4 linked regions of the Rhinolophus ferrumequinum genome follow. The protein of the gene in region 2 interacts with the protein of the main gene of each other region in a pairwise test. Links are inferred from orthologs where the notes say so. Each region holds a gene or a part of one and is shown on either strand. Other genes may lie near its edges. The genes, in order: PAX6, IPO13, PBX4 and PITX1.

Region 1 (8,020 bases), on a different chromosome or scaffold from region 2:
AGTCTCCGCAGACACCTGCGTCAATTTGCAGAGCCTCAAGCGGCTCTCTCTTTGCTGGCCCTGGGAAGGTGGGTTCCCTCGATAGCAGAGCTGATGAAAAGGGTCAAACGAGCACGAAAGGCAAAGGCACCCACCGCTACCGCTCAGTTTGGGGTGCCTCCTCCACACGAGGCCTTTACCCCCCTTTCTTTCCCCGGCAACCTGCAGATTTCTAGTTCACCCCGCAGCCTCGCAGAGACCCGAGCGCCGGGAAGCAGAAGAGAGCCGGGAGCCGGCCGGGTAGCGCCTCCAGGCTGTGGTCACGCTCGGCTGGAGAGAGCTGCGGTGCCCTCGCCTTACCTCCCCTCCTGCCAAATGGCAAGTAGGTTCGGTCCTCTTCCATTCACATTAGGAGGCAAGCGTCTCTCTTTCTCTACCTCTCACCCAAACACTTTTTAAAAATCATTGTCCAATTGTGTTTCCTAGCCAAGAGATCTCCGGACTCCTAAGCCTTTGCTTCCCTAACTCTACATGCTGCTGTCCAGATGGGGACCAGGTTTAAAACTCCTGATGTGTGGGACATTTGAAATTAGTGGTACTCTCTGATTTTTGCAAATAGGGTTCCTAGGAAAGTTTGCTTTCCATTTTTGTCACTGCGACGGTTCCCCAACTCTCTTTTCACTGTAACCTCCGCCCTCAAGAGTCAAGAGTTCAGCTTCAAACGAAAAGAAAGCCAAGGCCACCTCAGTTCCTTCTCGAGACCTAGAGATCCCTTCTCTAAACAGCTGCCTATTTTAAAGGCCAGGGACCGAGTCTAGCATTTGTCCTGGCGTGGAGCAGGGAACACGCGGGCCGGGAACTAGGGGCTTTGCTGGGGGTTATGAAGCTGGGGGAGGGGGAAGGAGCAAATGTCATGGCTGGTTCGCTCGAGCAGCCAGGGAACCGGAGCTAAGCGTATCCTGACGGGCTCTTAAAATGACATTGATTGGGACAAGCTGTTCCCCACCCCAGTAAGAGTTAATCTGCCTGTTAATCAAGGCACTAAGGGGCTCAATGCGAGTTTTATTAGCGATTGGAGAATAGAGGCAGCAGTGAGGGATCAAAAGCCGGGATCCCACATATTTGTCAGCCCGGTCACCAAAAAAATAAAAAATAAAAAAATAGTATTTTCAATTAGAGAACAATTCGGCGCTTTTCATCACTTCCTAACTCAGTCTCACAGATGGTGACTTACAAACCTGGCCAGCGGGGAAAACTGAAGCCCGGGGGCAGCCGGGGCGAGAGGCGGGGAAGGAGCGGCAGGTTGGTTCGAGGAGTCCGGCCGGGAAAGTTTAAGAATCCTCAGCCTAGGCCCTTGAAGCCTCAGATTCCTCCCGAGATGAGAGAGAATGAAAAATAAAACAACATATAACACCACCAATATCCGTGGCATCCCTTCCTCTGGGTGAGCTCCCCACCGCTCAGGCCAGGCTCTGGCGCCGGGTGGTGTCTGGCCTCCGCGCGCGGCAGCCGGACCTGCCAGAAAGTTTGCGCAGCCAGAGGGACTCTCTTTCCATCTCTCCCGCGCTGCCCCCTTCCGCCCTGGAGGGGCGTTAAGCTCCCTCCGGTTTTCCTTTAAAATTCTAAAATAAATAAATAAGTAAACGCCAGGCCCAGGGGATATTTGAATAGTAGCTCGTTCTATAATTCAAATTACTTGAGAGGGTCCGAGGGAAAAAAAAGACCAGCCAACCACATACGCCCTCCGATTAAGGAGGGCACGGGAGTGAGAAGGCGACAGAGGAGGTCCCCGGCTTGCTCTGGGCGCGGCGCGAAGACTCTGGTCAGAGGCAATTATGTCACTGCGTTTTCTCGCCGTGACAGCCCGAATAAACACAATCTCCAATAAACATCTCTAATGAGGGAGGAGGCCCGAGGATGGCTGGGTTTGATTTATGACTAGAGGGGAAGGTCCACTTCCCACAGCTAAGTGGGCAACCTGATCGCCCCTCAACTCTGGAGAAAGGAACCGAGGAGAGGACCCAGACTCAGGTAAGGTGCTCGGCCGGGTGGCCACTTCTCTCATTCCCTTGCTTCCCGAGCGAGGTGGGCAGGGGTCGGCCACCGCTCGGAGTTGGGCAGTGGTCCCAAGCACCTGTCATAGGTGCCTGAGACACAAACGTCCTCCAAAGATGAACACCCAGAACCTCTAGAGAGGTGGCGCTAGGAGCAAAAGTGGGAATGAGGGGCGAGCTCCGGCCTGACCTAGAGGCCTCCCAACCTCCGGGCGGGTGCTTCTGTGCCCAGGCGTTCCTGGCTGTTTGAGGCTAACCTTCTGCAACTTTCGCCACGCAGAACCACGAGTGAGTCTAAGTATGGGGTCTTCCCTTCCCTGACCCACGTTGGAGAAACTTCTGGAGCCCGGCTTGGGCCATCCGGGGGCAGGAGAGTAGTCGGGCGCTGTTCTCCCCGGCACTCAGCGGCCCGGCCCCCCTGGCGCTCACAGGCTTCCCACCGAGGCAGCCAGCGCTGTGCCGGCGGTAACCCGAGCCCGCGTTCTAGCTCAGTGAGAATCGCTAATTATTAGGTCTTCCGAAGTGAAGCTCAAATCACACGCTGGGGGCTTTACGCGCTGCCCAGCTCTGCCGGCAGCATTCTTTAGTCCTCCGCTCCTCTCTGAGAAACGAACTCCCATCTCTAGGACTTTGTTTCCGTCCGACCATCTACACTTTGCAACCGCGGGAAACTTTTGCTGCACTTCGCCGGGTCCGCGACGGGGCGTTTCCACAAGCTCCAGGCGCGGATGGGGACGTCTCCACGCGTGAATGTTGTGAATTGTGATTCGGGGTGTTCTAGGTGCAAACTGCATCCCCCCCACCCCTGCATTTCTCACGGTAGCGAACGGCTTCTGCAGACAGTAGCAGATCCCGATCTCCCTCTCCCCGCCCCCCTTAACCCAGCTCAGCACCCAACTGGAAGTCCACTCTGGGGACTGAAACATTTTGCTACTTTTGCAGAAAAACACGCTAGGCAAAGACAAGACGCCCCCTCCTTCCCTATCTGATTCCGCCCCCTGTAACTCCCCTCCATCTTTTATGCCTCCTTTTAAAAGCAAAAATCAAGCTCCCGGGCTACTTGGGGCGGGTTTGGATTTGGGGGCACCAGTCGCGGGCAGCGGAGAGGCGGCGCGGGCCCGGAGCCGGGCGGGGGCCGGAGCCCGGGCGGTTACCTGGGAGCGGAGGGCGGGGAGGCAGGTGAGCCTGGCGGCGCCGGTTCCCACAATTCTCACCGCCGCTCGGCAGGGGAAGTGGCAGATCTGACAGCCGCGTTCTACGCGAGGACCTGCCCCAGAGTTTAAATGTCAATGATAAGAAAAGAGGGTGCTCAAGCAAGCGCTAACTTTCCTTAATATCCATGCCAGCGCGGTTCTCATTGGCTGCCCGGCACGCGTGACGTCATGGCGGCCAGAGTTGGGCTCAGCTCCGTGCCCACCAGCGCTCAGGCCCGGCGGGAGCCTCTTCCTCCCCACCCCGAATCCGGCCCGCTCCAAGCCCTGCGGTGGCCTGCCTGGGCCCAGCCCTTGGCTGCTCACGCCCAGCCCAACCCCAACCCGACCCGCTCTCCCTTAGGGCGTTGAGTCACCCCAAAGAAACTAGTCCTACTAAGTACGCTCTTCCCTCCTGGAACGTGGGTCCCTCCTCTCGGCTGGCCAGCTACCTTTCTGGGTGCCCACCTGGCCCCCTCCTTCCATTCCCGAGGGAGTCACTTTATCAGAGACACACCGGGGTTACACCGGGGTTGAGAGGGTCCTCTAGAGGAAATCGTTTTCAAGAGGAGCTCAAGGAGCGATGGGTACCCTAAAACTGGCTTATAGGCTTACAAGTCACCAGCTAGGCACAGACGGGGATCCCGGGAAAGAACGAGCGAGAGCGATTGCTTCTCTTAGGCTAGGCCAAAATCCTCTCCAGGCCTGCTGGTTTTTTCTGAGGGGAGCCACAAACGGCACCCTCCGCTGGCTTCTCGCGCCTCCTTGGGTTGAAAGGCTCCAGTCACGTAGAAAATGTAGGTGATTTTATTAATCTTTGACTTGGGGGGTTAACTATTGACTCTGTGGCCTAGAGGAGGAAAATAGGAAAGTCCCAAATTCTGAAGTCAAGATTCCCCTTCCCGGGGCCCAGGAAACCACAGAAATTGGGGCGGGGTGGGCAGGATACTGACCTGGTGGTCTGTGCTTGTTTTCCCCTTACACCCAATGTGGATTGGGAGATACGTAATTTAGTCGAGCCGGGCATCTTGGGATGGGGACCTAAACCCGCGTTGTGATTCCCGGGTCTCTCCCTCCTCAACAGGGGAGGAGGCTTCTCAATGTCCATTCCCTTCGTTCTCAGCCTCCATCCGAGTCTCCAACTTGGAAGTGACAGAGGTCCGTCAGGGAGAGCCAGGGACGCTTGACGAGGTGGCAGGAGGGGAAGTGGTGGGGCGTGGATTGGCTTTTAAGCAGCTCGTGGGACGCCTAGCCCTGGTAGACCCGGGCGTGTGTTTCTTGAGGCTAGGAGGTTGACGCCTCGGCGGCAGGAGGCTCCAGGACCAGTTCCTGTTCGCCTTGCTTGGGTGGGTGCGGCAAAAGGAGAGCGGAGCACAGATGGCGCACGAGAGGTCGAGAGGTTCCCGCTCCCGCCCCGGGCACACCTGGACAGGTGTGGGGCTTCGCAACCAGCCGGGAGGAGGCTCCAGGCAGTCTGCCTACTCGCTCCTCTCCACTGGGCCAGCCAGCTCCCTGACTTGATTTTTTTTCCCTCAGCCCTTCGAGGCCCTGAAGGCAGGATAGAAGTGAAGAGGAGAATGGGAGAATAGACAGAGTGGTCTAAGCGTGGAGATCTTCCTTATTTACAACCGGTACCCACTATTTCTCCCCATCCCAACCCTCAGGTCTTCCAGTGTCAGGGGCCAGGAACATCCATCCTACCGCCCTCCACTCTCATCTGAGCCAGAACCCTGCTGTGGTCCTGTCTCCCCAATCCCAGCACTGCTGGGGAGTGGTACTCAGAGAGGTGTTTGCTAGGGTTTCTCCACCGCCACCAGCCTTCTCTAGTGACCTAGTTTCTTGGCAAGAGCCCTAGCTCTTCTCCAGGACCTGGTCCAGCTTTCGGCCCCAGATGTCCGAGGTCTCGCCCGCTCCAGGGTTTGCCTTACAGTTTGGACTGCGTGTAGGCCCCGGGGCTGAGCAGGCCTCCTTAGCTCCGTAGTTGGTGTCACCAGCTCTCTCCCCACCCGCACCCTCTGTCCCGAACGGAGGCCGCCGGGAAGGCTGCTCCGTGATTGTTTGTAGTCCGGGCCATTAAATGTGTGCGGATCCCTGCAACCCGGCAGGGTGCTCAAGAGCGACGCTGGAAACGCCACGGCCCGGGCCTTCTTATCTGCCTGTCAATAAAGGGCGCGCTTGGGAGGCGCGGGAACGCGGGGCGGTGGAGGCGAGGCCTGGCTAGGCCCTTCCGCGCTCCGGGCCAACGCAGGAGCCGCTCTCCATTTGCCCCGGGCACAGAAGACTGGGCGGGAGGAAGCTTGCGCCGGGGTCGCCACGGGGGAGGGTGCAAGTTCAGCTGCTGCCGAAGATTGGTCTCCGGATAGCTCTGGACCCGGGAGCCTGCCACCTGCCTAGGGGGCGGCTGGGCCCGGCCCGGCCCATAGTAGTGCTCAGCCTGCGAGGCCCGGCCTTGCCCCGCCTGGGCAGAGGCCGACTCTCTAGGCCGCATCTCCCAGCAGCGCGGGCGGCTCCGGGGCGTCATCGACGACTCGTAACACAGGGATGCGGAGTGCAACAGGAGGCGGGCTGTACGTGGGGTGAAAAGGTCCAGAAACAGGAATCCCCCGATACCTAGGGCAGTCCCAAGCTCTGGTTATTCACAATAGCAGTGAGTGAGCTTGGCAGCCGCCGGGTGTACGGGGGTTCCCTGGCCTAGGACTGCCGGGAAGCCCAGAGCTTCCCCTCCAGCTCACCAAGGCGAGGTGGGGAATGGGGAAAGTGTGAGGGATCTGAGATAGGGGGTAGGAGTGGAGGGGAGTGGAGGAAGGGAAGGAGAAGAATGGTTCGAGAGCAAGGCTTGAATGGAAGGAGAAAGGGACGGGAAGATAGATCCGTCCTGGGCTTGAACTGTAGCTGATATATGTAGTTCTTGTCCAAAGTATCTCTCTCTCTCTCTCTCTCTCTCTCTCTCTCTCTCTCTCTCTCTCTCTCTCTCTCTCTCTCTCTCTCTCTCTCTCTCTCTCTCTCTCTCTCTCTCTCTCTCTCTCTCTCCTTTATGCAAATAAAGCAGCTTCCAGACTGGAAGCCTCTCCTCCAGGATCTGTGCTACAGGGTGGGTGGGAATTGATTTAGTATTTGTCTTTTCACTGAGAATGGATCTGGCCATTCTAGAAACAATTGAAAGTAAAAAATGGATTTTTCCACTTAAGTATTTTAATTTCATTTTACTAAGTCTGGACATATTCCATCCTGTTAACTTCTATTTTTAAAATTATTCCTGGGAGGGTACTAATTTATAAAAGGGTTTAATACAAATCTTTTGCATAAAACAATAATAGAAAGAGAGGGAAAAATCCCTGACTAATTGAGAAAAATACTGTGTATTGCATTATTTCAAATAGCTGTACAAGACAGAAATCCATATATTAAACTTAACGGGCAGTGCATTTGGCTCTTGCTCTTTCTTCCTTCCCCTTCACTTCCTTCTCCTTAAATGGCAAGCTTTTTAAAACAAGATTTTGTTTTAAATAAAAACTGGAGGAATGTTTTGTGAATCTGAGCATTAAAAAAGGAAAATATTTAGCGAAGTTAGTATTTGCCATTTCTTCACTCAGGTCTAAAAGACTGCATAATGGCATGGTTATATGCAGTATTGTGGTATCTCTGCTGTTCAATTATTTTCCTGCTCTCATTCAAAGAAATATTTCGGTTCCTCTCCTGTCCATTCTATCCCATCATAAAGTTTTCCTGGACATTTGGGAAAATCTCCGAATCCTTCCAGTTTGCTTTCCCACTAAGAAAATCCTGATTACAATCAATTTGAGAAAACTCTGCTTTTCCTTTCCTTCTCAACATTTTCATGTGAAGTCAGTCAGTCTATGGCACCATGTTTGATTTCTTTCTTTCCCTTGCCTGGGTGGGGACAGAGACATTAGCTGAATTCCCTAAGGGTGATTGGATGCAATTCTCTGAAAGTAGACAGGCACGTCCTGGATGTTAGAAATTCACTTTTTCTCAACGTGACAAGGCCGCCTTCGATCTACAATTGTATTTGAATGGGCAATGAGCGGAAAGATCTCTCATCATTAAGCCTGCTTCTACTTTAGCAAAATAAGGAGAGCCTCATTTGCACACAAATGCGCATAAAACTGGGATTCCCTGCAACTCTTTAATAAAAAGGGATGGCTGCGTAATTTAAACTGGAGGTGAGAAGGCAGAGAGAGAGAGAGAGAGATGGGGGTTTCAAAGGCATCCCCCTTCCTTCCCCCAAAGGACCATGTGATTGAGTTGACTTTTTTTACTTTAAATCTTAAATAAGATGTGAGTTGTAACAAGAGGATTGGCACTTACTCTGTGACCCTTATAATTGGATTAAATATAGACTGAGACATACAAAAACACACCAAGATTGACACCTGCCAACTGGACTTCATTATGATTGATTGTGATGCTTCGTGCTGGCAACAATAATGAAATAAATTGTACGGATAAAACAGCACATTTGTCATTTCCGTGCCATGAGTGAGGAAGTCAACGAGTTAGGCAAGCTGTTAGCTGACAGGCGCAAGCGGGAGGCAAGCTAAAGAGATAAATAAGGATTCCAGGCATTGACAGGACAAATTATAACTTGTCACAACCTTTTTAAATTCAGAAGTTTTCAATTAACATATATATCGCTGTTACATATAAGATAAGGGGGGCCCCCGACCTAAACACAAGGATACACAGGGACACGCCTCACCTCACCAACAGCTTGGGCACCTAGGCCTCTCCTTCTTGGTTCTCAGGTGAGCTCTGGAGTGCACCCACCAGCCACGA
Region 2 (8,017 bases):
GGCCTCCACGCTGCTGTCGAAGAGCTCGGAGTCCTGCAGGGCCGTGAAGGCAGCCTGAATGAGCGCCTCGCAGTCCTGCAGTGGCACCTCCAGCTGAACCCAGCTGGAAAAGCACTTGAGCACCTTCTGACGTACACAGCTGGGTGAGCTGGGCTGCTGGAGCAGCTGCTCCAGCAACGGGAAGACAGCCCCACACTCCACAGCCAGGCTGGTCCGCACCAGGCCTTTGCGATACTGGGGCAGGCGGCTGGTCTGAAATTCCTCAGGCAGCACTGTCAGCAGCTCCAGCAGAGCCAGACAGCGGCCCTGGCCATCCACTGGCGAGTCCTCAGCCTGGAAGAGCCGTACCATATCTGCCACAGCACATGGCCAAGCGTCAGGCATCATGCTGAGAGCCAGTGAGGCCAGCGCCACACACAGCCGTGTGAGCACAATCTTGGAACCACTGGCGAAGCGGGTGATCTGAGTGAAGAGCTGTGCCTTTAGACTTTCGTACTGATCGGTGGGGATGTCACTCCAGTAGCGAGAGATCTTGATGTGCAGGGCACTGGCCCCAAAGTACTGGATCTCAGGCACCTTGTCGGGCTGCAGTAGCTGCCAGCTGAAGTGCCAGGCCTGTGGGGAGACCTGGGCCTGCATCAGCCACTTCTGAGCCAGGTTCTTGTTCTCAATGTTGGGGTCGTAGTAGAGCTGGTGCAGCGCCTGCAGGACAGCACAGGCCTGAGCAGATGCTGGCCACTTTGGACCCTGCCCGAGCCCAGAAACGGGGGCATGACTTGGTCCTGCAAGACTGCTCTCTCTTTCTGACTGGAGGGCCGAGCAGGAAGGGAGAGCTGAGGGCTCTGCAGTTTCATGAGCCTGGGGTCCTGCCAATATCTTAAGAACCTGAACTTGGCCCATGCTCTACCATATTCTCTTCTCCTTATAGCAAAACGTTATGGGTTCAAAGAGTGAATCTCCACAAGAAAGCAAATAATAATATTATTATTATTAATTTAAAACAGAGAAGGCTGAGCTCGCCAAAGGGGAGGGGGCACTTGAGGTAAAGGACGAGGCCCAGGTGGAAGGAATGGTTCCACAGGAATGAAGCTAAGCCCGAGAAAAGCATGGAAGAGCCTGAGGGGGACCCCCCCCCCCGACCCTCCCAGACACAGCTGCTCCCATCAACTCCAAAAGCTCCATTCAGCTCCCCCAGGATCATCACTAGGTCACTCCAGATGCTGGCACCAAAGCCAGTGTGAAATCTGAGCAGGACTAAGACTTTGCCAGGCAGCCTACGACAGAGACATTCTGGAGAGAAGGATGAGAACACCCCTCAGAGAGCGCACGTAAGGGTCCAAAAAGTTGGTCCAGAGAAGTCTTGATCTTCAGCCCTGGCAAATGAGAGCCTGGAGCTCTCAACTAGCTGAATCCCCAGGGTCCCAATTCCACTGCGACCTCACACAGTAAGAAAACAGAGGTTTAACTCCCCGGTTGCACATGGAACGGTGCACCACCATGCCAACACTGCCCAGCCCCAGGCGGTGGAAGAGTGAGGCCAGGACTCTGACTCCCTAAGCAGTCTCCATCCAAGTAGGCTTAGGCCATATCTGTCCCCTGATGGCCAGTTATGGTCATTGTCCTTGTTTGGTCCCTTGGGGATGCAGAGGCAGGCAGAGAACAGAAGCAGAAGGGATGTATCCTCACCATTTGGTATGGCAAACAGGGCTCAAGAATAACAAATGAATATCTGCAACCATTGCCAATTTTGCAGCAAGGTAGCCCCATCTCACCATTCATGGGTGGCGGGGTGCTTGGGGGGGATGCATTTCTACATTTCAGGCCTCTGCAGGTAAAACCCAGAAGAGAACAACCAGAAAAGCAGTTTTCAAAAACGATTGCAGTGGGGGAGTCTGGGGGTTCCATGGCAGGAAGCCATGTGGGCAGGTGAGTAGGAAAGAACCCCGAGACTGCCAGCAGGACCAGGTCCCTTGGGCCCAGCACAAAACAAAGGGGGCCAGCCCTACTCCTGCCTGCCCAGGGCTGGTCTGGCCTCCATCCAATAAAGGAAGGACCTTTCTCCAAGAAAGAGTGAAAACACAATCCAGATTGTTTTAGTCCCAGACTATTTTCTGAGACCCTTGGCTCAACAAAACATGTCCAGGATGGGTCAGCATCAGTATGGTTCCTGGGGACTAAGCTGCAGGTCTCCTGGGCTCCTGGTTTCTTACTGCACTGCTCATGCAGTTCTCACGGAGCTGGAGAATAGCCAGTCTGGCTGGAGGTCTAAGCCATCAGCACTCTGGAGAGACCATCCCAAGACCCTAGAGTATCTATCCCCAGAGGACCAATGTCTAAGGAAAGCCATAAATAGCCCATTAGAAATTGTAACACTGCTTTCCTGCCTGCCCAGAGAGACAGCAAATGCCAGGTGTCCTGGGGGCACCATCCCAGCGGGCACTCAGCCCAGGCCTGGGCCTTGGCATCAGTGTCAGTCCCCAGAACTTCTGCTCTGTCACTAGAGTGCCCACCCCAGGGCCCTCGTACCTTCTCCACGTTCTCCACAGTGAAGTCCAGGGCTGGTGCTTCTCCAGCCCCAGCAGCCCCCCGCTGCTCCTCCCGCCGCTCCATCTTTGCTTCTTCCCCAGCAGGGAGGTGGACCCTGACCTGTTTCCTGCCCCAGCCCCTTGGCTGCTGGCCGCCTGCTAGACCCCGGCTTGGGTGCCCAGGGAGTGGTGGGGTGACAGAGGACCCAGGGCGGGCATGGCTGCCGAGGTCTCCCCACCTCGGCTGGGAGTGGGGGACTTGCCAGAAAGCAAAAGGGGTGCTCTTAGGAGGAGACCCAATGAGGGGGACTCAGGAGGAAGCCGTCAGTGAGTTCTCAGGGGGGTCTCCTAGTGGTAGGTCACGGCTCTGTTCCCAGAATCTGCGAGGAGGGAGTCATAAGGGAGGGAGGCCTATGGGGGAAACCGAGCCCCTGGCCCGAGAGGGGTCACAGGGTCGATGGCCTGTACCCACAACACCCTCGTCTGAGTGAGCTCCTGGGTCCTATAAGGAGGTCACGGGGGTGGGAGGTCACGGGGGAGAGAGCCCTTCGCGGGTTACGGAGGCGTTCCAACGAAGCGCGGGGGTGCAGCTGCGACAGTCTGGGGCGAAGAGTCCGTAATGTTGAGGGGTTGTGGCAGGTCCCCTCCGCTCGGCCTGGCCCGCGCTCTGCTCACCGCCCGGCTCTGGCCCCGCTACAGCCTCTGCCTCCGCCCCAGTGACTGACAGACGAGCCGGCCCGGCGGGGATGGGGAGGGGACCTCAGCAAGGCGCGGGCTGCCCCGAGCGCCTGTCACCGGCAAAGCCGACTCAGACGCCGTCCCTCCCCTACGCCTACCCTGGCCCGGCCCGGCACAGCCCGGCACTGCCCAGCGGAACTGCGCGGAAACTCATTCCGGGTCTTCGGTCCTGTCCTCGCGCCAGCCGGCGCGACCCCGAGCAGGCGATGGAGCGGCGTGCCGCTCGAGGCCTTTGCCGAGCCGAGGTCCCGCCGCTGCGCACCCTGGGAAATATAGTCCGTTGCGCCTAGCGGGGGTGGGGGGCGGCGCCTTGCGACTGAGACCGGAGCACGTGGGCTGGTGACCCGCGGAGCCCCGCAAGTCCCAGGCTCACTGAGACATTCCCAGTCAAACCGTCGGGAGGAGCTGCAGAGCAGCTCCCTAAGAGTGTGTGACTCCCGAGGGGCGGGTGGATGGAGGTGGGAGCCCAGACAGGCTCCCACCTGGAGATAAGGTGTGTGTGTGTTGGGGGAGTGAAGTAAGTGTGTGTGGGGGGAGGGGGCATAGCACTCTAGTGCTCCGCTGTGGGTACATCCTGGGGGCCGTCTGGGAAGAAGGCGTCAGCACCACTGAGAAGAAAGGGGGCTTGGCGCGCCTCAGGAATCAAAAAGGACGGCTCTCAGAATCACCCACTGAGCAACCGGGAAACCGCATACCATGGACAGTGCTCGGAGAATTCCATAAGTTTCTTGGAAGCAACTTCTCTTTACGAGTAATTAGAATAAGAATAGCTCACACTTAAGTGCTAGGAACAATACTTTGCATACCTTAGGTTCAATTCTCTCCACAGTTCTGAGGTGGGTATTTTTATTCACCATTTTTAGATGAGGAAACTGAGGTTGGGGAAAGTTGAGCTTATCTTGTTCCTGGACACTCAACTAGGGTAGCAGAGAGCAGCCACAGATCTGGTCGGCGGCAGACCCCAGCAGCCCCTTTCTGGTGCCCGTCCACTTATCCTTTTATCAACTCTTGCCAGCTACCCCAAAGGGGGCGGGGGTGGGGGTGGGGAAACATCTAAAGGGAAAGGACCTCTGTACTTGTGCTCAGTGGAGGAAGCCGGCGTTGGCAATAGCTGCTGAGGCCTGAGAAGGTGGATACAGGCTTCCCTGAGGAGGAGAAACTTGATCTGAGCTTGAAGAATGGAGAAACTGGGGCGGACGGGGACTCGATTAGCTTATAAGCAAAGTCCAGTGGGAATTCAGTCACTCAAGAAATCTTTCTCAAAGTGAAGTACAGCTAGTAATTTGTGTTCAGGCTAAGGGGATAAAATGTATGTGGGGTGAGGAAGGGGGAGGGGATGAGTAACAGGTGAGGTTGGAAAAACAAGTTGGGAGCCGTAAACTCTTGAAGGAGTTTAGACTTTATCCTAAGTGCAATATGAGACCATGATGGGGATTCAAGTGAGCACTGATGACTGGATTTGCATTTTAGAAAAGTCTACTTGTTGTATGTAGGCTAAATTGAAGGAGGAAAGAGTAGAAGCAGGGGAGATTTGGAAGGAGGAAACAGGAAGCCACAAAAAAGTAACTGATTCCAAGTGGGTGCTTAGAGCTGTGAAATGACCTGGCCCTGATAATTAACAGATTTTACTGTGGGAGGTGGCGGACGACGGGGAGGGTTAAGGCTCTTAGGCCATGTTCAAAACCTGTCTGTACTTCTTTCTAGCCATAATACCTTGACTTCTTCTGAAACTCACTTTAAAAATAAAATGAGAACAGGAATTTCTCCAATGAAGGACATGAAATGGTGTATGAATAGGCCTGGGCCCAGAGACCACCACTTGGTGAATGCGTTTTCTTTCTGCTTGCAATCCAAGGCTTCTTCTTGCCCCTGGAGGTTCCCCTGGCAGAGAAAGAAGCCAAGTTTCACCAACAATGGCTCCTGAACATGCTTCACAAACATCACCTAGGACAGACGGATTGAAATAGGCCTGAGGCGGGTTAGGGCATTTCTGGGTACCAGATCAAAGGGGACTTCAGGAGATGTGGATAGCAATCCACGATAACTTAGAGCCAAGTCAGGAATGAATCTTTGGGAGCTAGTTACAAATGGGTTTTTCCGTCCTCTGAGTGACAAGAGTAGGATATATAGGGGCCAGAACCTGTGACAACTCTAGGAGGGGGTTCCCCGTTCAGGAGAGAGCATTCCAGAGCTCAGGAGAGGAGGAGAGGGAGCTTCTGTTGGTCACCTGGAACCACTAGCAATCCATAACTATGACATATTAACTTCTTTGAAGGTTTGAAGATTTGAAGATTTTCAGCCTTCCAAAATAGTGTGGATTTAGTTTGCAAAATTAAATAAGGGCTGCTTGTAATTAAGTATTTTGGGGAGGTTTTCCCCACTTCCACTGCACCAAGGTGAAATGTGAGTAATTTTCTCTGTAGTCCCCTGGTTTGAGGGAGAGAGGTTAGGTAGAAAAGGGGCAGGATTATTTCTAGTTCATCCTTAAGCGTGATAGTAGCCTTTGGGGTCCTGGTCTTATGGAGAAGTTTCTGGGTAGGATTCCACCATAAACTCAGGAGCCCTCACAAGCCAATGCTTGGGTTCACCAGGTAAGGCAAATGCCCTCAAGGTGAAAGCCAACTACTTAGCTTCGCTTACCTTGGTAGCTTCCTGCTTTCACTTATTTTTTTGGCCTGAATATTTCTTATGTTTACCAGCTCATGGATGCATTTCATTTTTAAAAATATGTGTTTTGTCTAGCACTTCTAGTTGTTTTTAGCAAGAGGGTTAGCCTGAGTCCCTAGGTTACCATGTTGCAAGACAAGCCAATGGGCAATTTCAGCCCTTATGTGGCTTGATTTTACTGCTGCATTTGGCCCTGTTGACCACTCCCTCCCCCTGTTCTGTTTTGGTTTCCTCTACTACTCTGACCACTCCCATTTGGGCCCCTTCACAGGCTTGCCCCTCTTCCTCTCTCTGTTCCTTAAATGTTGGTTCTCCAGGCCTTAGCCTCTGCTTCTCTTCTTATTCCTCAACCTCTCACCACTTGTTTGGCTTGGAGCTGTGACTCCCAGATGTCTCTGGTCCAGACTGTTGTGAGTTACAGCTGCCGGAGAGTCCTTGCCCTCTGAAGGTGTCACAGGCACCTCAAGTTAAACATGTACAAAAACAAACTCATGACCCCCCCCATACCTTACCCCATCACACGCTAAAAATACTACATCCTCTATGTTCCTTGCCAGCCACCTAAGCCAGAGCCCTGGAAACCCTCCCTTTCATCAAGCGCTCACCACCAGTTTGTCACCAAGTCCTGTTTATTGTGCCTCACGTCTCGTCTGTCCTTCCACACTGCTTCTGCTCTAGATCAAGGCCAGCATTTATTTATTGCCTGAATGGCTCTGACTGCAGCAGCTGTAACTGGTGCCCGCTGCGTTGGCCCTTCTAGTTCATATTAGATACAACAGCCAGTGATCCATCTGAAACGTCTCTTTAGCCAGTCCCGCGTAAAACCCTTCAGTGGCTCCACTCAGGATAAAGTCCAAGCTCCTTTGTATAGCATTCAAGGATCTTTATGATCTCTCTAGCCTAGATGAGGGCCTCCCCCTAATTCTACATGAAATTGCTGGCTATCCTGGGACACACCGGCTGTTCCACACTTCCCCGCCTTTGTTCATGCTACTGCCTCTGCTTAGAAGGCTGTGTCAGGCTGGGCCCAATCAGGAGAAACCACATAGTAGGCACACAGAGACAGTTTAATATAAGAATTTTGAACTGTAATGGGATTGAAGTAAAGAGTGATCGGCTAGTAAGAAGTGAAGAGAAATCTAAATAATTTAGGAGTAGCTGAGTTCTAGGGATGAGATAGAGAGCCCAGGAAGAGGCCCTCACCCCCAACCCCTGCCCAAGGCTGACACCCAGACCTCGATGGACAGGGCATGGTGAGTGAAAAGGGTGAATTTCAAGCTGAGAGATAAGGAAGGCGATAAAGGATAATCAGTACAGGCTCAATGCCCCTCACTCACATTTGGCAAATATGTCACTTTTCAAGCCTCAGCTCAAGTGCTGCCTCCCCCATGAAGGCTTTTCTGGCTCTTCTTCCCCGTCCATCCAGGTGGAACTGAGTCCTCTCTCTTTGTGAGTGTAGAAAGTCTTCTCCCTCCCTGACACACATAACTGTATCCTAGTCATACTTCTACTGGGGCACTTATGACGGTTGGTTGCATTTTTTGTTTACTTGTTTACTCCCATTTTTGGTTCCCAGAAAAAAAATACAGGACACCAACTTAAATTTGAATACCAGCCATTATTGCATGAGACATAAAAATAAAGTACTTATTGTTTATCTGAAATTCAAGTTTAACTGGATGTCCTGTGTTTTTATCTGCTAAACCTGGCACCCTTCCCCCACCTCCACCTCCAACTATGGTCTTCTTAATGGCAGACCATGTTTCTGGCTGACCTCTGAATTCCCGTAACTAGCCCAGTGCATGACAGTTAGTGCTCAATTAATGACAAGAGAATATTGACTTCTCTGGCTGCAGGCTTGAGAATGACTGGAGGCAGTTGAGACCTCAAAGAGACCAGTTAGGAGGATGACCAGTTTTGGGAATAAACCATTCCCCAAATCACGAAGGCCTCCACAGAATAACATTGGGAATAGAGAAAAGGGGATGCACTTGCGAGATTTAAAGATTTGAGGACCAATGGGTAAGGGAAGTGACTGAGCTTAAGGAGTCTAGAATGTTGCTCACGTGTCTGGCTGGTGTCACTGG
Region 3 (7,378 bases), on a different chromosome or scaffold from region 2:
GGACCCCACTTCCCCCAACTCCTCCAAGACCTGATGGAGAATGATGGGAGGCGATGATTGGGTGGGGAACGTTCTCCAAGGAGGTGATATCTCAGCAGAGACCTGAATGCTGGAGGAGGGAAAAGAGTTCCAAGCAGAGAGAACAAGAAGGTGAGAGTCCAGGCAGGACCCAGCCAGCACCTCCAGAGAGGAGAGGAGGTCAGCACGGCCTCAAAGGGCACAGACGGCAGTCTAATTTTGTTCTGAGTTCCGTGGGAAGCCCTTAAGAGTTTCTAGTAGGGAGTATTGTGGTCACTCTGGCTGTTGAAATGTAGGGTGGTCTTTGTGGAGGTGACAAGAGGCTTTCCTGTTAGGACACACACACACACCCCAAGAACAAGGAGCAACTCTTCCCAGTGATCCCCTTCTCCCCACCAAGTAACTGGTCTATCCCACAGTGACCTCCTTTCCCCCATAAAACAATCCTCCACGTACGTGTAGAAACATCCAGGGCTAGAGCCACCACGTACCAGATAGGAAAGGTGTCCCTTCCAACAGACAAATCAGAGAAAGGTGTCCCCTCTTAGCAGTTCTGCCTTGTCATGCTGCCAAGGCAGCAAGACAGGCCACCCTGGCACTGCAAACCACAGCCCCTGTCCAAGCTCTCGATACCCCTCCAGTCCTGAGCTCAGAGCCGTGGGTGCCAGGCCCCCCGACAGCTGACCCTGCTCACCTCAGGCTCCATCCCACAGGGGCATTTGTGGTCTGCTGGACACCGGCCCAGGTGGTGCTGCTCCTGGATGGTCTGGACTGCAAGTCTTGCAATGTCCTGGCTGTGGAGAAGTATTTCCTACTCTTGGCTGAGGCCAACTCACTGGTCAATGCCGTGGTGTACTCGTGCCGCGATGCTGAGATGCGCCGCACCTTCCGCCGCCTCCTCTGCTGTCTGTGCCTGCGCCAGTCCACCCGCGAGTCCGCCCGCTGTGCATCCTCTGCCCGGATAGGTGCCAGCACTCGCATCATGCTTCCTGAGAATGGCCACCCATTGATGGACTCCACCCTTTAGCCAACCTTGGACTTCAACAGGATGCAGCAAGTACCAGATGGCACCCCTGACAACTCGTGGATGTGCCTGGCTCAACCCAATCTGAGGGACAGAATTAAAGGCAGACCCTTGGTCTAGATGGCACGACACCACTGCCAGGCCTTCCCAGATACAACTCTACTCCAGGGCCTGTGGGTGTGTGGGCATCTGGCTCTTCAATGATCTCAGGTTGTGGGGTTTTTAATGAACATTTTCCTGTTTTTACTGCACATCCCTGGTAAACCCTGTGGACCTTTTCCTTGTCCGTGGTGGTATGGCTGTTAAAGGTGGGAGAGATGAGGTCTCTCTCAGGCCACGCTGCCCAGTATAAAACAAAGACGGACCGTGGATACACCTTCTATCTGCCTCAGGCTGATTCTCCAGGGGCACAGACTGAGAGGTGCTCAGTGGGAGCTAGGAAAGGTGTGTGGCCCCTTGCAGCCTCTGGAGCTTGCCTGTCCCCATTAGACTTAAGGGCTTCCATGGGGGAAGGGCATGTTAAGAAGTAAACCCTTCTTCCTCCTCTGAGGTCTCCAAAGCACTTTCTGTGATCAACTCAGTCTGTTGCTGTGTCGCAGAATTGTCCACCTCAGCTTTAGCCGGGCAGGGATCCTTCCACATGGCATCTCCTCAGTCCTGTTCTCATTCACCTTCAGTCTCTGACTGGCTGTCACTCCATCTCTCTTGGAGTCTTGCGTCTGTTCCCTCTTGCTTGTCTTCTCCACTTCTTCCCCTGCCTCCAACTTGCTGCCTGCCTGTCTCCATTCTCTGGAACCCAGAGTACTCTGTGGCCTGTGTGAGTCTTCTCTCTCCCACCTGCCCTTTTATCCGAGTCCAGGTTGTTACCAGTTAGGTGTGTCCATCCCATTGCACACCACACTTATGGGCCAGAGGTACTGGCGTCCATGGAGCAGGGTGAAAATTCGAATTTGCCATTTCTCAGGCTCCTCTGATGTTACCCGCACACTGGCAAGCATTTTAGGTGCATTATTTCATCATTGCCTGCAGGTATTACACTTACTTGCACGTGAGGACAGTGGCTCAGAGGTTAAAATCTGGCCCATGGGTACACAGCTTTGAAAGGGTACGGAGATGCATCGAGGGACTATAGAGGCCCCTGGAGAAAGGGATTCAGATTCCCACAAAGTGTGGAGTTGATCACAAGCTCAGCCTGGTTTTCCCCTCAGCTCACTGCCCCCCAAGGCCTCAGACATGCCATACTCGGGATGATGAGCCCCCTCTTTGATGCTCATAGCTAAGCGTGGTATAGACCAGGAGACAGGGTGATGACCCACTTCACGTTCACATTGAATAACAGCCAAATTTGAACCCAGGCCTTCCATCAGCGGCCAAATTCTTAAAGTAGTAAAGTATGCATTGCCAAAGAACCAAAAACATCTAGGTCCTTCTATATTAAATGAGGCTGGGATTCCCTTCGAGAAAACCCCCTGCCGTAAGGCAGCTCTGTGAGGAAGCAAAATGAACTGGGGCACTGGGTGCTTCTCCAAGGTCCAAGGTGGGCAGCATGGCTCCTAGGGCCTGAGGCCTGAGCCTCCAGAGGTGATAAGCCAGCAGCTTCCACCATGTGCCTGGCCACATGCCCATGAAAGATGCCGTCCTTGCCTCCATGGAGCTCTGGGCTTTTTGACAGACATGTCACTTTGGGGGCCAAGGCAGCCAAGCAATTCCTGTAGTTTCCAAAAGGCAGCTCTGTGTTTTACTTGCTCTGAGCTGGCTACTCTTCAAATCAGTATCCTCCAGATTCTAACTCACACTCCTTAAATATCCTTTGGGATTTTGTCCCTTCAGTTTTTTCCTCTTGTGGATCTCTCTTCTCTACCAGGTGACTTCAAGTTTTCATCTCTGCTGGTCCTTGAAGTTTTCAAACACTTACCCACCCACCCACCCCCACCTCAATCTCTGAAGGACACCAAAGTTACCCACTATTTTCAGGCCTCCTGTGCAAGTGCTGTGCCAGCAGCTAGCTGACATTTTGTACACGGCATCTGCTCTCTATGGTGCCCACATGTTCTAGTACTTCCTGTTATGGGGGCAAAGTGGGGGGTTTCCTTTGTTAGGGAGCTTTCAAAGTTGTTCTTACACTGGCCCACATCATTCATTTCCATTCCCTGCTCTCTCTTTTGAAGTCCCCCAATCAAATCACACCAGATGGTTATTGCGTTTCTTCTCCAGCAGCAATGGGAAAAAGACCCTGCCCTGAAGGGTTGGCAGCCAGGCTGACCTTTTATGAGCCTCCATCTGGAGTCTGCCCTCAGAGCAAACAAGCTCAAGGCAGTCCCATTACTTTGGAGAAGTAATTCGTGTCCAGTTTGTTCCTTTTCTGTCACACTCTGGGGTGCATCACAAAGTAGGTCTTCTGGAAGCATCCATTCATTCGGTAACCAAGTGCTAGGGTTTTCTAGGCCTGGAATGCTGCAAAGAGAATGAATAAATGAGAGAGGTCGCGTTTAAGCCAGATCTTGACAGCTGAATAGAATTGACTTCTACAGCTGAGAAAATCATTGTTCTAATCTCCCAGCCACCGTCATCACAAACCTGTGCGCCTCGTGGAAAGCTCCCAGGGAGGAACCAGGAGGCTGGGAGTCCTAGTGACCCACCTGATGGTGCTGAGGCTGAGGGGAGCATTAGGGGATTGAGCAGGGGTCTGGGGCTCGGACTTCTGGAGATGGATGGGGTTTTGAGAGCCATGGGAGGTTCTGAGGACGTGTGAGCTGCTCTGAGAAGGGGGACTCAGGAGATGTGCGGGTCTCAGGAGTGGGAGGCTCAGATATGAGGGCCTCAGGAAGAGTGGGGGCTCTGAGGAGGAGTGGAGATTGAGGAGTGAGGTTCTGAGCGGGAGCTGCTGCTCTGAGGAGATGCGAGAGGCGGATATGGGGGTGGGGGGGCCTCTGAAATGGGGCGGAGCCAACCTCACCCTCTCTAGGGCAAGAGGAGGGTGGAAAATGCCGTTGCCTCGGCAACCCCTAACCGAGTCCTGGGCCGCTGAGGGGAGCTGTTAGGGGCGTGTCCGTGGGCGGTGCGCGGCGGCCTGGTAGGCGGCGGGGGCCCGGCCCAGGCGCGCGCTGCTCCCCAGGGGCGGCGGCGGCGGCGGTTGGCTGCGGCGCGAGCGCAAGTGCTCCAGGCCCGGCGGCTCCTCCTCAGCGCCCGCCCGGCCCCACAGTCCATGGACGCCCCGCCGCGCCCCGCGCTGCCGTCCCCCGCCCCGTCCCTCCCGCCGCCCGGGCCCCCACCGGGCCATGACACGGGCGACGTCCTGCAGCAGATCATGGCCATCACGGACCAGAGCCTGGAGGAGGCGCAGGCCAGGTGCTGCTCGGGGGCGGGGGCCGCCCAAAGTGGAGGCCGTGAAGGGGGCGGGTCGAGGGGCCAGAGCCCGGGCGGCATGGGGTGTGAAGCTGAGGAGAGGGCTGAGCGAGATTGTGGGGTGCGTCTCTGAGCCGGGATGGCAGGTGTGGGGGCCTTGAGGAGGACGACGAAGGTTTTTATGGGGTTAAAATGGAACGGATTGAACGGCCGGCCGATGGAGGTAAGCAGAGGGTAGTGGGTTTTAGGAGCTCATCTTGGTGCGAAAGGGGTGGGTTTAAGGGGAGTTTGTAGATGGGGAGGTTTATGGTGAAAGGTGGTTTCGGGGTTTATGCAACGTAAGGGAAGTGTTGGGGTGTAAATGGATGGGTTAGTGGGATTCGTGAGGGTGGGAAGTTTTGAGGGCTGATAAAGGAGAGTGAGTTGTGGGACTTGGGAAAGAATAGATGGTTGACGCGGTTGTGGGAACCGTCGGGAAAAGTGGTTAGTGGGGGAGTTGGGTGGAAGCGAAGGACGCTTTTTTATTTAATTTGGCAAATATTCATTAAACACTATATGCAGAGCACCTAGCCGGGTGCTGACATAGTTGCTGTTCTCAAGCTCATGGTTTGAGGGAGAGAACGTAAGTGCAAAACACTAAGTATACATTGTGAGAAAAGCTGTAGTAAGAAAAGGGATGGCATGCAGTGGGGAGCCAGATGGAGGAGGCACAGCACCGTCAAAGGCCCGGAGGTGGGAAACAGCAGAAAGAAAGCAGAGCCGAGGACTGAAAGTCCCCAGCTGAGTCTGGAGAGAGGCTGGAAGCAGATCACACAGAGCCTACAAGTCTCAGAGTTTGAGGCTTTTGTTTGTTTGTTTTTCAGCTGCCATGGGAAAATCACAGCAGTTTTAAGACCACTGCCCTCTTACCCCCACTCACCACTGTCAGCCAGCCAGGATTGGTAAACTCTGCTTCACAAAGGCAGCACATTGTGTTTGGGACCTGCTGGAATGACAGTGGTACTTTGGTTTTCGAACGTAATCCGTTCCGGAAGACCGTTCGAGTTCTGAAACGTTCGGAAATAGCCGACAGCTAGGCCTCAGCATCTTGCACTCAGTGGAAGCCCTGTGACATGTTCGACTTCCGAGGCGTGTTTGAAAACCGAAGCATTTACTCCTGGGTTTATGATGTTTGTAAACCGAAATGTTCGTCAATGGAGACGTTCGAAAACCGAGGTACTACTGTATAGAAACTAGGAAAGGACCAAAGTCCTTTTGGAGGGTAAGGCCTTGTTGAATGGGGGCTTGTTTGGGGGAGAAGGATGGTCCCTGGAATGGGATCAGGGTCTGGTGGTGTGGACTGTGCAGTCATTAGAGCCCTCTAGTGAGGAGGGGTTAAAAAACTACCGTGTTTCCCCGAAAATAAGACCTAGCCGGACCGTCAGCTCTAATGCGTCTTTTGGAGCAAAAATTAATATAAGACACGGTCTTATTTTAATATAAGACCGGGTATTATATAATATAATATAAAACCGCGTCTTATATTAATTTTTGCTCCAAAAGACGCATTAGAGCTGACGGTGCGGCTAGGTCTTATTTTCAGCCCCAGGAAAGAGGAGATAAAGTAAAAGGTGGATACAGCATTCATTTGTTCTTCGTCCTTTCCTTTACTTCTTGTGGAAAGTCAACTCTGCAGTTTCATAACCTCTACCTGAGGGTTAGGGGTGTCACCCCACAACCACGTTCACTCTACTCTTTGGAGCATTGTGCTAGGTGCTAGAGAAACCAAGATGGCTAAGATATTCTCTGCCCTCTTGGAACTCATTGAGAAGCAGGGTGTGTGGGAGACGAATTTATAAATAGTTATATCAAGAATATGCTGAGTAGAGATAATTCTGGGCACGAAAGAGCTGGGCTGGGAGAGGGTGTCTTTGTGTGATGCCCTGTTTGCTAGACTAGCCAGAGAGCAGAGGCTTTGTTGTACTTTCCTTTGTATTCCCAGAGCTGTGCACAATAGCGTTCATAAAGTTTTGTGGCACTTAGCTTCTGGAAGGATTCGCAGGACGTGGGGGAGGGGGGAATGGGCTCTTCATACCCCGGTGCTCTTCGGTTTGTGGCGCTACCTGTGTTTCTTCTGTTCTGGGGGGAGAGTTGCTTAACCAATGAGCTCTGCCCAGCTGTGGCCTTCCTCAGGCCACAGCACAGCCACAAAGCTGTTTTCTTGTAGCCATCTCTTGAGACTCCCCTAGACAGGCTTTAGAATAAAATGCAGTCAGTCACCTCTTCCTTGCTGCTCTTGAAGACAGCTCTTCTTCTTTTAAGGCTAAGAAATTGAATAGTGGGGCATTATACATGCTGACAACATGGCTCTTAGATTAGCTGGTTCTTGATTTCTTTCTGTGGTAAAAAAGACTCCCTGGGGCTTTTAGTTTGAGATCTGGAAGCTTCAGATCTGCCCCTCTTCATTGGAGGTAGCCTTTAGATGAACTCTAAGCCCTAAAAGTCCCACAAGTGCAGACAACAGTCAGTCCCCAGGTGGGCCGCGTATACCACTCTGGAGCAAACAGCTTGGATGGGTCATTTCCTCAGTACACTCTGCAGCCTGGTGAGATTATCAACCTGAGATCATTCTGCACCCCCCACACACACCCCCACGGGAGATTGTGTCTTACTTACATCTTTCTACATTATCAGGGAGGCAGCTCCAAGGGCTGCTGAATAATTTATTTTGTCATTATGGCTAACTAGTCTCAGGATAGCCACTGTGTATTGTTCTTCCTTCTGACTACACAGATAGTGGAGCGATATCAGGAACTTTGGGATGCACCATCGTAGTTTAGATGCAGCCCAAGTCAGCTGGAGACTGTCTGTGTAAGTGGCGACCAGTCTCCTTGAGTGATCTTGTGACCTTAGGCTACACCCTGACCTCTTCCTGGAGAAGGGATAGTTCCTCATCTTCTGATTTGAAGCTTTCACTGATCACAAAGGCTGATGGAATGCTTTTTGCCCTAA
Region 4 (7,841 bases), on a different chromosome or scaffold from region 2:
GGAGATGTGTTCTAAGCCCGCCAAGTGTCAGGCCAGGGACTCTGGGTCCCAGGACACTGGGTCCCAGGACATGGAATGAATGGTACGCCTGTGGGCACCCAGAGGCTGAGGATCACAGCTCTTCACTCCTCAGAGGCTCTAAAGGGTCAGGACTTCCATGGACGGGGACTCTTTTATGACTCTGCAGGTCTAGCTATTCAGTCTGAGGGGCTTGCATCCCTCATCATTGATCCATTTGATGCAGTGATTGAGCACCTGCTGTGTTCCCCTCTGGCCCCAAGCCTCTGATAATGACCCAGGCAGTCACAATACTCCCTATATTTGGAAGTCTTGATGCCTGCTGTGTGGATGGAAAGGCCCTCAGGCTATTGTAGGTGAAGCTCCATATCTCCAGGGGCCCTGAGCCCTAGAGAGGGGCTGACACTATTGGGAACTTCCCTGGGGAGTCTGTTCTGCTGGACAGGTAGTGCGGAATGGGGTGGGGGCACGGCGAGGAAGTGATGGATAAAAAGGAGGCCCTGGCCTGATCCTGGGTGTTGGCTGGAGAAGGGACCAGGGCACTCTCTCTCTGCTTCCCCAGCCACACCCTCCACTGGCCACCATCCCAGGTAGTGTAGGGGCTTCTTGCACTCTCACAGATAAGTCACACCAACACACAGAACAGGAGGCAGCTCTCTTTCAGGAGTAAATGTAGGGGTCCAGTATTCCCCTGGCTTTGCTGTGTGACCTTGGGCAAGGTTTGACCTGCACTGTGCCTCAGTTCCCCTGTCTCACATGGGACACAGCAATCCCTGCCTTCTGCTTCAGCCTCCAGCCCGCTTGACGATGGGACATGTGGAGAGGAGGGAAGGGGGCTTACTGGGGCTGGAACCATGTGCCCCAGTCTCCGTGGCTCCAGGCCACACAGAGTTAGCGATGATTTTGTGACTCTCAGGAAATTTGGGGCTTAGAGTCCCGGCTGGGCTGATCAGAGAGGAGCCTGGGCTGTAGTGGGGGTTGAAGCGTCACCACAGGGACCCTTCCTGAGGCTGGTCTCACTCAAAACAGACTCTGTGTCCAAGAATGCTTTCGTCATTTTATTTGGGAAGGGTGGTTGGAGGGTCCTCATGGAGGGCATCCTTCCACCCACTCATGAGGGTACTCCGCCCTAATCTCTGCGCCAGAATCAAGGGATTTTAGGAAAAGGGAAGGAATGTGCCATGGCTTGCCCCCCACCCCCCACGCCCGCTGGGGCCATCCGTGACTCTGGGACATTCCAGCCCTAAGCCTCTTAGGCCGTGGGGAACTTCAAACTAGAAAACCCAGTTTTGGGAGTGCAGACGGGACCACCTACTGCCTTCCGCCTGGTTTTAAGACCCCCTCCCCAATAAAAAAGCTTTTGTTTCTTTGAATAGAAGCAATTACTGGGTGAGGGGAAAAGAGGTACTCAGGTAGAGGCTGGGAACAATCTTACTGGATTCTTTAGGCTTCAGAGGACCCCGGCCTGAAACTTCCTGTCAGTTGGGGTTCCCCAGCCTGTCCTGGTGGGGAAAGAGCTGAGAAGTATTCAGCCAGGTTGGCTAAATGGGGCGGAGATGGGAGCACGGAACTCAGAACGCTCAGTCAGCAGCTGGTAAGGGCCCATCGCTCTCTGGGCTCACAGCTCACCCCAGTCCAGTGGTCGCTATCTGGTTCCCCAAAACAGCTGAGCTGATAGGAAGAGAAGGCTAGGGAAGTGGCAGGGGCTGTCACACACCTGGGGAGCAGAGGGTCAGCTTTTGCTACCACGGTCTCCTCTTCCCAGCAGCCGCTTTCCTGAGAGGAAGGCACTCTGAGCCTGGCTTGAAGGTCAGCAAATACCACCTCTGTGTCCTAGAATCCAGGTAGCCTGGTCTCCATGTCCCCGTCCACCTTTTTAACTTTTCTGAGTAGAGATGAGGAGTCCCAAAGCAGTGAGGGAAGGGCAGGGGCCAGCAAGTCCCCTCCTGTGCTGCCCCTGCTGCCTGTAGCTTTTGCCATCACCCCAGACCTGTGTCCTTGACCAAGTGGACAGCAACCTGGAGTTGCCTTCCCTCTGGCCCTGGTGGCTGTCAGAGACCACTGGGAATGCCAAGAGAATACCCGAGCCTTAGTTTCTCAGAAAAGTGGACACAGATAGTTTAGATTAAGGGAATCCCTAAATCGGAAAACCTCGGAACAAGGATTCCAGCCTGGGATCCCCATTTCTGCGATGCCGCCCACGGGGCCCTTGCTTTAGCGCGGCCCAAATCGCTCAGATTCAGAAGGCTGCTCAATTTCAGAATTCCGGACCCGGGTCTAGAGAAGCGGCTGCGTGCTTAGGCTCCCTGTGTCAACCACTGCGCCCTGAAGAAGCCGCGGGGATGTCTTTATTGGATTTGCGAAGAGCATTTGGGGTTTCTCTTAGGGTAAGGAAAAGCCCGACCCTTGCCGGCGAGGCAGGCCGCCGGGGGTTGGGGCGCCTCCAGCACTGCGGTGGGACGTCGGGATCCTCGGCGAAGAGCGCCGGGACTGCGGCCCACGTCTGAGGCTTTTCTGCGGCATAGCTGCCGGAACGAACGAGCGAACGAATGAAGCGGTTTCGTTTAGGAAAAATACCCTCTTGACACGAAGCTAAGGCCGAAGTCCCTCGGCGTGCAGAGGGGCCAACGCTTCCGTTCGTGTTGGGGCCCCTTTCCCGGGCGCAACGGGGAGCGGCGGGTGGCCCTGTCACCGGCCCTTTCTCCCGGAGGTACCCTGCGGCCCGCGCCGCCACGAGGGGCTGTGAAAGACATGCAAGGCTATGCCCTTCGCAGGGCTGGGGCCCGCGCCCCTGAGCCTGCTGCCCTTTTGGGTTACCCGGAGCTGAAGCGTAGGGTGTGCCCACCGGTTAGGTGAGGTAGCGCCCGGTGATGGCAGCTGTGACCGTGCGCTTGGCGTAGGAGCGAGCTCCTCGCGCTGCCTCGATGGACCCTGGCCTTCCGCGCGATGTGCTTAGTCCCGCTCCACTGGCTGGTCCCTACATACTCGCGGAGTAAACAGCACAGAACTCGGCCACCACCTCCCTGCGCCCCAACACTGCGGAGACCCGGCGCCCCTAGCCCAACAACTCTTACCCGACCCGGGCTGCGCTGCGTGTGCGGCTCGTCGGCTCCGGGCTCGCTCGCCACGGACTCCGGCTTAGGTTTCGACTTCGGCCGGGTCCCGGATCCAGCTGCGTCCCCGGCTGTGCGCGCAGCTTTGGTCCCCGCTGGTTCGCTACATCCCAGTGAGCAAGGTCCGGGCTGCCTCGGCAGGGCCCGCTCCTCCTGCCGCCGCCACCCGTCGCCTGCGGGGAAGGCGGGGACACGGGCCTGGGAGGCGGGAAGGGGGGAGGGGAAGCGAGGCTCTTGCCTGGACCAGCGGGGAGGGGGCGGCGCGCAGTCCGGCTGGCTAGGGGTCCGGGCCTCCCTCGAGGCGCAGGCAGGGGTCGTCGGCGTGGCTGATGGCCGGGGCCCGAGGACGGCGAACGCAGCACAGGACAGCGTTCATGGAGGAGGGGCCCGGCCGCATGCGGACGAAGCCACGGCGAGTCCTGGCCAGGCCCCGCGTACTTTCTCTCCCTTGGGCTCAGTTTCCCACCTGGCACGTGAGGGGCCGAGCCCGACCAACGTTTAGTCCGGGTCTGGTCGGAGTTTCCCAGGGTCCTGCCAGGTGACGGTCAAGCCGGGTTTTGCGATTCGACCTTTTCCCCTTTCTGCGGGAGGGAGCTGGTCTTGCAAGTTGGCAGGGAGAGTCCTCGGAGCAGAGCTTGGCTGCCAAGGAGGTTTGAGGACAGACCCCAGGGTTTGTGTGTGTGTGTGTGTGTGTGTGTGTGTGTGTGTGTGTGTGTGTGTGTGTGACTGGGGAGGGGCAACTGGCCGACCTGCCCTGCTAGGAGGATTGCCCCCCTCCCACATCCTCCTCTCAGGGGTTGGGCTGACGAGGAAAGGGGAGACCGACCCCACAAGGACAGACGCTTCTGTAACCCCTCGTCCAGCCCCTCTCCACACCCTCCAGCGGTCGCCCTGCTGGCAGGCCCTCACACTGGAGAGGATGCAATCCATGTGGCCCCGTTGTCCTGTCCCTGGCTGGTGGCCATTGGGAGTTGGGCAGGAATGAGGGGGACTGGGTGCTCTCCAGGCCACCAGGTTCTCCAGGACTGCCTATGACCGGATAACCCGGCGGGAAGCCTTGTGGGGGAAGCAAGCGGTGGAACAGGCTCCTGCTTCCCCCAAGTGCCCAGTGTGAGCCTGGGCCCTGGGACGGGACAGTGGGTCTGCTGGTCAGACTGTCAGGGGACGATGACCTTCAGGTTCAGGAGTGTGGGGCCTGCCCGCCGGAGGCTGCGGTGCTCCAGGGCGGCAGCTTTGGCTCAAGGTGCCGGGAGATGGCAGTGCGGCGGCCGGGCATCAATGTTTCATGAGGTGCCGTCATCGGTGGCGCCTCCTTGCCTGGTTCTCACCAACAGCTGCTGTGAGAGGCCACGGCCCCCGCGCCTGCCCCAGTGCCCTGCTCACCCGCGCCTCCAGGGCCACCTGGCCCGGGAACAGGATGACCCAGGACCCCCTCCTGACAGCCAAAGCAGAAGCCTGCCTGACCCAAGCTCGGGAGGCTTTGGCGCTCAGATCGAGGGTTGGCCCCTGCACCCTGCCCTGCTGTTTGGGTAATCCACAGCGTCCCCTCAACTCTCAACAGTGGGAACACCTTTCCGGTGGGTGTGTGTGGCTTGGTGCACACAAGACTGGAAGGGTTAAGAGCTGAGTCCTTGGCTCCCGTGATTTCAGACCTGGTCCCGGGGTGGCAGAAACACAAGCTTGGAGCTTGCACTTCAGGAATTCTAGCCTCTGCTTCTCCTGCTGCTACGAGGGCTGTTTTATGTGAGGAACTGGTCTGTTGGCGGGTCTGGCCCAGAGCTGCTAAGCTGAGACTCTTCCGACCTTGTCTCAAGCAGCTTTCCCCTCCACACCCCAGGCTCCCGGGGCCTCTTCCGACATAATGCAACTGGACCCTTACTGTGTATGGAGGGCCCAGCAAGCATCAAGCTTTCACTCTGGCGCTTGTGTTAGGAAACTGTACCTTCTTACCCCTGCACACTGGTGATTTTCCTGGTTGTCTTCCCAGTGGTGACTGGGCATGTGTGTGTGATTCTTTGCGTGCTTTTGTTCCCAGGCAGAGCCTGTGGTGCCAAAAAGCTGCCTCTGAGACCTGATGGCCAGAGTTGGAATCTTGTTTCTGTCTTTTACTGGCTCTGTGGCCTTGGGCAAATCACATAAGCTCTCCCAGCCTCAGCTTCCCTATCTGTGAAATGGGAGAATAATAAGAGTTTCCACGGCATAGAGAAATCTATGAGATGATGGAGGTGAGGGGTGCGGACCTATGTGGGGGTGGGCAGCCAGGATGAATGTTCATGCTGGTAGCTGCCAGGTTGCTTTGCTCTTTAAAACAGTTTGCTCACAGTTTTGTTTCCTCCTTTCCCCAGGGTGGTCATGTTGGTTGAGTAAGGCAGCAGCAGCCCCCTTCTTTGATTTAATTGACAAACCCCTCATCCCCTGCTTAGCTACTAGCAAGTTTCAGACCAGGGAAGCTGGGCAAGCCGTTGGGGTGGGACCAGCACGTGATGGCCTGGAAATTCTTGGTGAACTGAGGTGGGTCAAAACACGTTTTTTATTACCTTATTTTCACTTCTTTGAAAAATAATTTTTCACAATTTCTCTTTAGGTTTCGCCATCTTGGCAAAGGAAGAGGGATCAGTCAGAGAGAGGAAGGTTGGAGCTGAAACCACCAGGAACAGAAGTAACACAGTCTGAATATCACTTTAGCTTCCAGGTATCCAATCAAAAAAGGGCAGCAAAATTGTCTGACACATTTGCTTTGTGTTTCCTTCCAAACTGACATGCTTCCTCTAATCAAAAGTTGTTCTCCCTAGTACGGAACTCTGAGATGAATTTGTCACGTGGGTCGTACTAAACATAATGGGCAAATGTCCTCAGCCATAGTTCCACGGACAGGCGTAACAATTCTTCGAGCTGTGTTTCTTATCTCAATATTCAGTGAAAATAGGGAGTGTGTCCTTTCCCTTCATCGCTCTTGTAGCCATGGTATTGAAATCAATATTTGTGTAATCATCGATGGAAACCTGTTATCCACCTACCACTTTGTAAGCTTGAGAGCAGAGCCGAGCCTCTCTTGCCACCCATAGGACACTCCCTGGGGGGGGGGGAGGGATTTGGTTTTGCTGACTGGTTAGGTGCAGCTCACATGCCCACTGCTGAACCAGTCACTTTTTGGGGAAGAGTGGCTCAGGACTGCGGATGACCAGGTTACGGTCACAAGCTCCACCCCAGAAGGGTGAAAAGGGAGCTCCACCATCTTAAGAAATACTTACCACACTCCCTGAGGAATACTGGTTGCTGTCCTGGAACAAGGTCTCTGAGCTGCTGGTGGCAGGGAATGGGTTGCTTTGCAAAGAAGTCCCTTCCCTGTGAAGGTTCTCTTCGGGCTGCTGATGGAGTTAGTAGGGCGTCCACTCCAATGTGATGGGGAGGCATTGGCTCTGTTGAGAGAGTCTGAAGTCCATCAGGATTGTTCCTGCGCTCATCTGTGGGAGGGTTGGAGGGCTACCGGAACGTCTGAGAGGTGGCTCAGAGTCTGTTGACTCACATACAGCGGTGAATCCACAGAGCGAGGGGGGCATCTATTTGTGTTCCCTTTGTCATCTGTGAGGAGCGAGTTAGAGACTCTAAAGTTAGAGAAGAATCCTTATGACCAGATAAGATATTAATTTATTTTAGCATTATTATATTGCACTCTGAGCTTCCTGGCAGCCAGAGCAAAAATAGAAACCATTTGGATATCTCAAGTAATTTTTTTCGTTGCAGACCTATCAGCATCTGCATGGACTAGTGGAAAGAGCCCTGGTTTGGGACCTTTCTGGATTGGCCTCTTTCAGGTCAGCAAAAGTTTAAAGAGCACATATTCTGTGCCTGAGATGGCAGAGATACAAAGACGGTTGGCTCCTGCTCATTTGGGTTGAGTCAAGGAGGCAGGCACACCAACCTATAAACGTATTTGGAGCACAGTGCTGGAGAGGAAATCCGAAGCCTGGTGTTGAAGGGCCCTGAGTGACATACAGGCCTTGAGTTTGTCTGGAACAGCTTTCCACCGCCACCAACCCCTCTGTGGGATAGCACTGGGACAGGTGGAAAGGCAGAGAATGGGGGAAGAAGAAGCTGGTGAATTGAGTGGGTAGCAGATACCACAGGGCTTCATAATCCTCGTTAGGAGGGTGGGATATTATCCTGAAGGCAAAGAGGAACCGATGAAGGGTTGAAACAGTGAGAGGTCTGGTCAGCTGTAGATTCTAGAACGGTCACTACCTGGATAGTGGAGGATGGACTTCAGGAGGTAAGAGAGGAACAGAGTATTGCAACGTCCTTCACTCAGCCACTCCATCCATCTTTTTCTTTGTTTATCAGTTCATCCATCCACCATGAGCACAGGAGGCCACAGGTCGGTGTGGGAAATACGAAAGTAAGACGTGTGGCCCCTGCCTTTCTAGACGTGCCCCTAAGAGGGCCTCGGTTTACCCTTCTGTAAGCCTGGTCTGTCTCTCCCATCCTCACAGGCTCTGCAGCCAGTGCCTTCCAGACGTCTGCTTGCTGCGTGGGGTGGGGGAGGGGAGGGGAGACAGGGAGCTCAGAGTCCAAAGGGGCACAGCCACTACCGCACACAGTTTGGGAGGCGGCGTGCCGAACAGCCTTGTCGGAAGCTTTTAAAATAATTACTCCTGCCTGCTCGGGCTGACCGGCTGACGGCAGCCTATTAGCCCTGAGTTGGAAATTCTG

The links.
Region 1: the proteins of IPO13 (region 2) and PAX6 interact in a two-hybrid assay, tested with the Homo sapiens proteins (2 studies listed by BioGRID and IntAct). The link is inferred for Rhinolophus ferrumequinum from reciprocal best matches to the Homo sapiens genes IPO13 and PAX6.
Region 3: the proteins of IPO13 (region 2) and PBX4 interact in binary tests that used the Homo sapiens proteins (3 or more experiments, as listed by UniProt). The link is inferred for Rhinolophus ferrumequinum from reciprocal best matches to the Homo sapiens genes IPO13 and PBX4.
Region 4: the proteins of IPO13 (region 2) and PITX1 interact in binary tests that used the Homo sapiens proteins (3 or more experiments, as listed by UniProt). The link is inferred for Rhinolophus ferrumequinum from reciprocal best matches to the Homo sapiens genes IPO13 and PITX1.

What each region holds. Positions count from the first base shown.
Region 1 is NC_046294.1:25,537,151-25,545,170, reverse strand, and holds the start of PAX6 (paired box protein Pax-6), read right to left. Parts: upstream 3,324-8,020; 5' UTR 3,188-3,323; intron 2,011-3,187; exon of another isoform or gene 1,783-2,010; intron 1-1,782. UniProt on the Homo sapiens protein: Transcription factor with important functions in the development of the eye, nose, central nervous system and pancreas. Required for the differentiation of pancreatic islet alpha cells.
Region 2 is NC_046292.1:31,055,677-31,063,693, reverse strand, and holds the start of IPO13 (importin-13), read right to left. Parts: upstream 3,471-8,017; 5' UTR 2,611-3,470; coding exon 2,527-2,610; intron 703-2,526; coding exon 1-702. UniProt on the Homo sapiens protein: Functions in nuclear protein import as nuclear transport receptor. Serves as receptor for nuclear localization signals (NLS) in cargo substrates.
Region 3 is NC_046301.1:51,960,184-51,967,561, reverse strand, and holds the start of PBX4 (pre-B-cell leukemia transcription factor 4), read left to right. Parts: upstream 1-4,200; 5' UTR 4,201-4,247; coding exon 4,248-4,390; intron 4,391-4,551; exon of another isoform or gene 4,552-4,610; intron 4,611-7,378. Other genes in the region: LPAR2 (lysophosphatidic acid receptor 2), read left to right, coding at 732-1,045.
Region 4 is NC_046307.1:10,741,745-10,749,585, forward strand, and holds the start of PITX1 (pituitary homeobox 1), read right to left. Parts: upstream 3,479-7,841; 5' UTR 3,093-3,478; intron 1-3,092. UniProt on the Homo sapiens protein: Sequence-specific transcription factor that binds gene promoters and activates their transcription. May play a role in the development of anterior structures, and in particular, the brain and facies and in specifying the identity or structure of hindlimb.